2 linked regions of the Drosophila melanogaster genome follow. The protein of the gene in region 2 interacts with the protein of the main gene of each other region in a pairwise test. Each region holds a gene or a part of one and is shown on either strand. Other genes may lie near its edges.

Evidence for each region.
Region 1: the proteins of CG14424 (region 2) and CG15459 interact in a two-hybrid assay, tested with the Drosophila melanogaster proteins (one large-scale study listed by BioGRID).

What each region holds. Positions count from the first base shown.
Region 1 is NC_004354.4:20,411,644-20,415,644, reverse strand, and holds CG15459 (uncharacterized protein), read left to right. Parts: upstream 1-2,063; 5' UTR 2,064-2,147; coding exon 2,148-2,204; intron 2,205-2,373; coding exon 2,374-3,225; 3' UTR 3,226-3,304; downstream 3,305-4,001. Other genes in the region: CG15458 (uncharacterized protein), read left to right, coding at 1,558-1,620, 1,683-1,811.
Region 2 is NC_004354.4:2,925,321-2,929,157, forward strand, and holds CG14424 (uncharacterized protein), read right to left. Parts: upstream 1,939-3,837; 5' UTR 1,850-1,938; coding exon 1,789-1,849; intron 1,460-1,788; coding exon 729-1,459; 3' UTR 564-728; downstream 1-563.

The sequences.
Region 1 (4,001 bases), about 17 Mb from region 2:
GGGTTAGCGCCAATCGCCGCCCCCACTGCCCATTTCCATATCCAAATGGGCGGGCGGTGGGTGGTGTTCCTGGGGCGGATTACTTTCTGGCCGGGCTATAATCTTGCCACGTTAATTGACAGTGTACACAGGTATGTGGTCACCGTGCGAGGTGGCATGCGAGGCGCGATTCTGGCCGAGATGCGTTGACAATCCCATTGCTGGGCCGCATTTCCCCAGTGTTCATCAGCGATCATGCGAATGCAAATAAGGTTTCAATCTGAGATCTAACGGGGCGGTTCCAAAATCGGTTCCAGAGTTAGGGTCGCATGGATACCGCGCATCCAGTTTTCCGTTTTGAGGTCAAACAATGTAAAGATAATCACAATCGGTAATAATGTTTGGTATATATCTTAAAAAATTATAAAATAAAATCTATTTTTACAAATAGTTTGCTATTTACATATACTCCTTCAAGATGCTGATTTTAAGATATACTATCTGGAAAAAAAAGTTTTTATATTTTGATAGTCCACCAGATACCACCAGATATTTTGCTACCACCAGATATTTTGCATACCAGATGGTTGCTGTTTTTTTGTTTTTTTTCTGGAGACTCACATAACAAGTGGCCATTTTTTTCCAATATATTTAAAAATTTAATTACAAGGCAGGCATTTTAAATATAAGCCTTGTAACCCCTTAAGTAAGTCCATTACACTCACTTTAACCACCTATTACCTTGTATGCAAATGAGTAGTTCGGTTTGATTAGCATTCAAATTAGTTGCAAGTTGGCATTTATTTGGCGAAATGTATTTCATTTGTGCATTTAGTACAACTGATGACGTTGAAATAAGTAGTATTGCGTGTGGCATGAGCCCAAATCGCTGATAAAGCTAACTGCAATAAATAATAAATGTAAATTATAATATCACAAAAGGCTTATGTTTGCATTAGCATAACTGAAGCGTACAGCTAAATAGGCCAGAATGTTTACATGCTAGCTAGGTGATAAAATACATTTGTAGAGGATATATTAGATATATAATGGTCGATCGATATGCGATGTTAATATCAGATTCCAAGACTTTCATACGGACAGACATAGCCATATCGGCTTGGCTAGTGATCCTAATTCCGACCAGGATGGCAAGAAGTTCTGTGTGACATACAATTTTCAACGAATCTAGTAACTGGTTTAAAAATAGTTATAGCTGTAACATGCTTAAAAATTTCATAAAATTGTAAATGGTATTTAGCTCAATGAATTCTGAAGTTGGTTAAAGGTACAATATGAAAATGTCCAAAACTTTCGATTTGCCTCTTGCATATCTCAATTTTCATCACAGTATTTAAGCAGTAATTAATGGGTATCCCATTAGTCGGTACTAGACTTCAGCATTCTCTCTAGTTGGGAAACCCGAGTCGGCTTTGACGACTGTCAGTAACATTCCTTTCATTTCGAACGTTTAAAAGTCACAATCCGAATCCCGGTCTAAAATACAGGTCGAATATCGAATCCAAATTTTAATCTTTTGTTAAAAGCCACGCCAATCCGGTCAACAACGATCCAAAGATGTCCGATCATTTCAACTTCAACGAAGCCTTCAACAGCCAGACCATGCGTGGTCGCGCCAATGTAAGTGATTCAGTACACGGCAGTACACAAGATGCGCCCAAATACGCCACCGAAACCCACAGGTAGCCAAGGCCACCTGGGCCTCGTTGGGACTCGTCTACGTCCTGGTCAAGATGCACCGCCGCAACACGAAGCGGCGCGAGACCAAGCTCTACTGCAAGGGCTGCCAGCAGGCCATGCTCCATGGCTAGGGCGCCGATGCTGCCAAATCATTGAAGTCATGGCTCCCCACCGCTCCGACCCATTCGACCCGTCAGCAATCCATAACTATTTATAATCAGCACCCCCTTTCCGGTCCTCGATGCCACAGTTAAAGGCTTGGGGACCAAACTCATGTACCACCTCGTTGAGTCAATAAAAATCGAATCCTGCCAATGAATCGACTTTGTAATCTAGTTGGCCGAGCTTTGCACTTCGCTGCTTGTCATTAGGTTCTCGCTCGGAGCTATAGGCAGAACACACTCAGCTCTCACCCGGACCCGACCCCAAATCCAGATCTCCAGATCTCCAGATCCAGTCCAGTAGCAATGGCCGACGGCTTTAAGAAGTACTTCAATGGGACAACCATCAATGGACGCGCTAACGTAAGAGTGATTCTATTGAACGCACACAAGATAAAATGAACCATCGCTTTGGAGCTGTTGATGGACACAAAATATTATTTTCAGCTCCAAATTGAAATTCAAAATTATTAATTTAACATTTTTTTACATACATTTTTTACAAATACATATACTATGACCCATTTCGCAGGTGGCAAAGGCCACATACGCCACGTTGGCCCTGTTGTTCATCGTGTACAAGCTGCGCCGCGGATCCGGCAAGACCGGCGAGTTGGCCAGCGGCAAGTGCAGCTGCGAATCGGACCACGAGTCGTCCCTCAATGGCGACATTGGCGTCTACGGCGCGGATCCCGACTGCTCCGTTTGCCGGGAGCGATCGGAGCGGGCCATGACCGAGTTCGATCGCGAGCAGCAGCGCCGGGCGGCGGGCGAGGATGACAATGGTTGTCGCGACGATCCGCCGCCGCCACCACCTCCGCCCACATCGGGAGGATCAGGCTCTGCTCCGCGGCGCAAGTGTCCCTGCGAGGAGCCGCAGCGTCGGGCGGAGGGAGCCGTGAAGCATAGCAGCCACAGCAGCTGGGCGCGAGGCCAGCAGATTCAGCCGCCAAACCAGTACCAACAGTATAAACAGCCCGAGGCGGAGCAAGTGCGTCCGGCTAGCCAAGTGATGGGTCAGGTGCACGACGCCTTCTACAGGGTGCTGCGAGGAGTCGTGGGAGCCGTTTTGGGCAATGCGGCGGTCAACACCAGCGGCACCGCTTCCGATTCCCCAGCTCAGGCAGCCGCAGTGGAAGTCTCGCGGGATGAGCTGGACGAGGATGAACGTGACGACGGCCAGGACGATGAGACGCCGTTAAAGCGCCGCACGGCACCGCGCTCTTGCGTGCCCACAGGCAGCCAAGAGAACGCCTCGGGACAGCCGGAGGAACTGGGCCGGGAACAGGCCGACGACCAGCCGCAGGCGGAGGAGCAGGCGGAGTACAGCGCGTTCAGCGATGGCTTCACTTCCGGCCTGTCCTTTACCAGCGATGAAAAGTAGTTGGCTAGGTCTGGGCGTAGGCTTCAAGAGATCTGCTAAATTTTTAGTCTAAAATAAATACGAAGAACTTCTTTATCTCAGCATTATGCTTTAACAATCCATTACTTGGCGCCCCCGGGTGGATCCATTTCTTTCAGTCGTTGCAAGATACTAAATTAAACGGGGGGCAATTGCTTTATAAAGTATTTTATTTAGCTTCCGTTTAGTTCAGATAGAGTTTTCTTTGCGGCATCTAACTTTTAAATAGATCATCATTATAAACGTTTTTAGCCCCTTTGTGTTCTCGGGGTTATCAATATCAATTACGTAGCTTATTAACTGTTTTGGGCGGGGTTCGGACTCGAGATGGATGGGAATGGATTGGATTGGATTCAATTGGGTTGCGTCTAACGTTTAAGCCTTGTGTTTAATTATGAGTGGACTTCAACTAACATTTATATTTAAATTTATATGTATATATAATATAATATGGAAATAACTTTAACGTTTTGCTTTTTGGTTTCATTATGCGATCGACCGATTCTTTCGCTCTCTCGCCGTCTCTCTCTCTCTCTCGCTCTCTCATTCTCTCTCTCCTCATTCTCCCTCGCTTGCCGTCTCTCTCTCTCTCTCGCTCGATTCGTCGTCTTGCTCCGATTCAAGTGCTAATTTAAAATATATGTTTATACGTGTATATATGTGTACGTGTCGCGTGAGTGGGTTTAACTTGAAGGCTGCGTGTGTCCTAGTGGGTGTGGACCGTAAACTGCTGGGAGATTCGCCAGGCTGCCAAGGTC
Region 2 (3,837 bases):
CTCGTGTGCCGTTGACTTTTGCGCCTAAGCAAAATTTGTGCCATGTGTTTTGTGGCCGCTTTGTTTGTTGGCTCAAAATTGCTGGCAGGCTGCCACACGAGGACTCTTTGGGACTGCGATTTGGACTGGGATCGGGACACCGAAACCGAAACTGAGACTGAGACTGAAACTGAGGATGGGGATGAGGATAAAGTCGAGGACGAGGCCGAGTACGAAACGAGACACAGACAGGACTTGTCACGTCAGCGGCACAAAGCCCGAGCACAAAGGCCTGATAACTGCAGTCGCCTGATAAGCAGCGCCCCAAACAAGGATCTGCCCATCTACTTGGCGACACTCGAAAAAGGGGTGGATATTTAAATGTTTATAAACATAAAACTTAGATTAATTGAACCTTTTAAAACCAGTGCTTTTTGTTGTAATAAATTGGTTGGTTTACCATTGAGACAACTTTTTTCTTTTTAAAGGTTCTTCTTTGACCCCCAATTTATCCAAGTGTGGCCTTTTTACCCCAGGGCCCACTGAAGACCCTTCGCCACCCGGAAGCACAAGTCCCTTCTTTTGTCATTTCGCTCATAACGTTAATTTATATTCAGTTCAGTCTAAAAAAAAAATGTAGAATAGCCAGTGGTAGTGTAAGTACACCTAGTACAGTGAAGCCCGTGTGACAGCCATCGAGAGAAGGAATGTGGAAGTTTGGATAGGTTGCTTGTTTAAATTAAAGGATCCTAGTTGTAGAACTGCTGGCGACGGCGCTGTGCCGGAGCGGCGGCCACAAAGCGACGTCCCGAGTTTCCGGCGGAGGAGGAGCCCTCGTTGGCGGAGTACAGAAGCAGGGGTATCTCCTCCACGCTGGTCTGCTGCTGCTGGGCAGAGTTGCGCACGCCGGAGCGGAGCAGCTCGTCGGCGGATAGGCGGCGCAGGGCGGCGGGAGCGACGGCTACAGGAGCGGCGACTGGAGCGGCTCCGTCTAACAGCTGATCCTCATCGTTCTCTGGCTGCTCCAGTACCACATCCTCGGGCTGGGCTACGGCAATGCTGTTGCCCACGGGGGCCTCGCCTTCATTGTCGGCAGCCGAGATCGAGCTGCTCTGCAGCAGAGCCTCGATGTTCTCCAGGTTGGACAGACCGTTGATCTGCAGCTGGTCGTGCAGCTCGGCAGGAATGGCGATGGCCTGGACATCCTTGTGACCGGAAATTCCATTGGGTGTCGGGATGAACTGAACGTTCTCGGGAATCTGATCGGTGGGATAGACGGGCACCAGCTCGGCCTCGTTCTCGTTGCTTGACTTCAGCAGGATCAGAGAGATGGGCACGATCTTCTTGAACTTAAGCAGAACCAGCTTCTTAATGGCCACGGCACCGGGGAAGACTCGTCCCTGGGGACCACTGTGGGGCTTCGCTATGAGGGCACGCTGCTCAAAATGCTGCCTGCGATGGTGTCCGCTCACATGGCGGGCTAATGGGATACAAAGACATGGGGTTAGGAAATAGGGTTGGCAGAAATGGTTTAAATTCGCCCTGACGAACTAGTTTAGCTTTTAATATCATCGTATATTAGGAACACATATTAAAAAAAAGTCAATGCACTTCAACAAAAGTCTGTCATTATTAACAAAGAACTATGAAAATTGCTTGTTTCTCAAAAACTATGAAAGCAATTTATTAATTAATAACCGTCACTTAATTATGATTTCGAAGAGAATGTATGATACTGATGGATATTGGAAAAGCGAACATAATTCATCAAAGATTATTTTTCGTCTCCTAAATCACCAACCAACTCACCTTCGCACGCGGCAAAGATTGCCAGTCCGATGGTCAAAAGGGCTACCAACTTAATTGCCATAATGATGTATATATGGGATCTTCTTGTGAACTTGGATTTGATGTGGACTTGGACTTGGACTTGGGCTTGGGTCTGTCGCTGGACGAGGGCCTCTATTAAATGGTCCATCAAGTGCCCGGCAAAGACATTTTATACAGGGAAGGAACATTCACCTGGCCGGCGAAAAGCAGGCAAAACAGCGTAGACACATAAAAATCACACGAAAAACAAAAGAAATTAGGTGGCCAGGCAGCAGAACAAAGTAAAATGTAGCGAAATTGGTGGGGACTTGGACGATTGGCAAATTATTAAACTATGCAAATGTCCGTCGACTGATTTATGCACAAAAACCAGTAATAGAAAACCCAAAAAGCAGAGAACCCAAAAACTCCTAACATCCCAGAGATCGCAGAACGTTGACTTCTGGTGGCTACATTTCCATTTCCAGTTGCATTTGACTCTTTACCAAAATCGAGAAATTTGCATTTTGGGTCGCCTGGAGAAATACGGAAAAATACAAAAACCGTCTGGCGAATTCTTGAGCCAATTTTGAGGTCAAAAGTGAGATTTTCAATAAGTCAAACCGTTTCCATTTGTCAATGTCCGAAGTGGGCGAGGTCTCACTGTTCTTCCCCGCAGATGTCAGAGTTCGAGGCTTATTTGGGCCACATTCATTTGCCTGCCTGTCTGCCATATAGCCATATACAAAGATATTCTTTGGCCAGCCAGCATGTGTTCCCCATTCGGATCGAGGAACGAGCATTTAAATCAATCAAGTGGATCGAGTCCATAGTGCGAAATTTATTCTTTTCTCCGCCATTCTCTGCATTGAAAGCAGGCTCAACTTAGTGCCAGAGATTAAGTGGCTAATCTATCGAACTATTAGTGATAAGCTGCGCGAAATAATGGCATGACGGATTATGGTTTTATGGAATTTATGAGTGTCTGCTCTCTTTTTTGTGTTCTTCTATTGTTGGCTAATTTAAATCAATAATCTTCCTTTTGTTTAGGACCTATGCAAAATTAAAGCTATTTTGAAAATAGCATTTAAAATGCGCCTAAAAATTGGCTGTAAAAGTGTAAATGTATTGGCCAAAAGAGTTTTGCTATAGAGAACTTTAAATTTAAATCACAGTCCGCCTGCAAAATAATGCAAGATCGTAAGAAACAACTATCTGAATTAAAATAAATTGCAATTGCTTTTGCATTTTCCTTCAAATATTACCATTATTTTCGGCTTGCAAAACAATTGTAAAGAACAATAATTTTCACAGAGCGGGTACATCGAGCTATTCCCGATATTAAATGTTAATTGAATGCCTTCAATAGTGGCTGAAATTGGAGACCAATCGATTTCCTCAGCCCTACTCAATTCCGAATTTGGGCCACTGACCACGGGTGGTATGATTAATTTATGTGCTGTATTTTTTTCGAACTCCATGTTTTTTTTGCCAGCCTCTCCGATGGTTTATCTAATTTATGTTATTGCCGCGGCAATTATTTAAATTTTCCACAGCTACCGTTGGCAGTTCTTTCTAATGACAAGGGCGGACTGGGGGAAAAAAAAAGGAAAACATATTTGCCGCCCATTATGGGCGACATAAACAAATGTTTTAATAACCAAATTATGCGAAAAAGAACGCAATGTATTCATAAGCTCGAAGAGCTGGGCGAGCAAAAGAGATCCCAGCCAAGTTATTTGATGCTAATGGAAATGCATAAAAAGATCGTAAATACTCATTAGCAAAGTGTGTGGTTTCTAGCTATGTATATGGCAAAGAAAGTTGCCCCCATGGCGGGGTCAGCACATCTCACCCAATCATTTGCGGGGTCAACATATTTTGGAAAGTTACTGTTGTAGGGAAAGTTCTATTTTTGGAGCGCGTCTAAGAAATATTCCCAAAAATTAGCACACTGATCCACATTCGATGAAAAGAAATCGCAGAGCGGAAATTACTAGTGAATTCGGGGAATTCACTTGACTTGCAATCAATCTATATCTCTTTGAT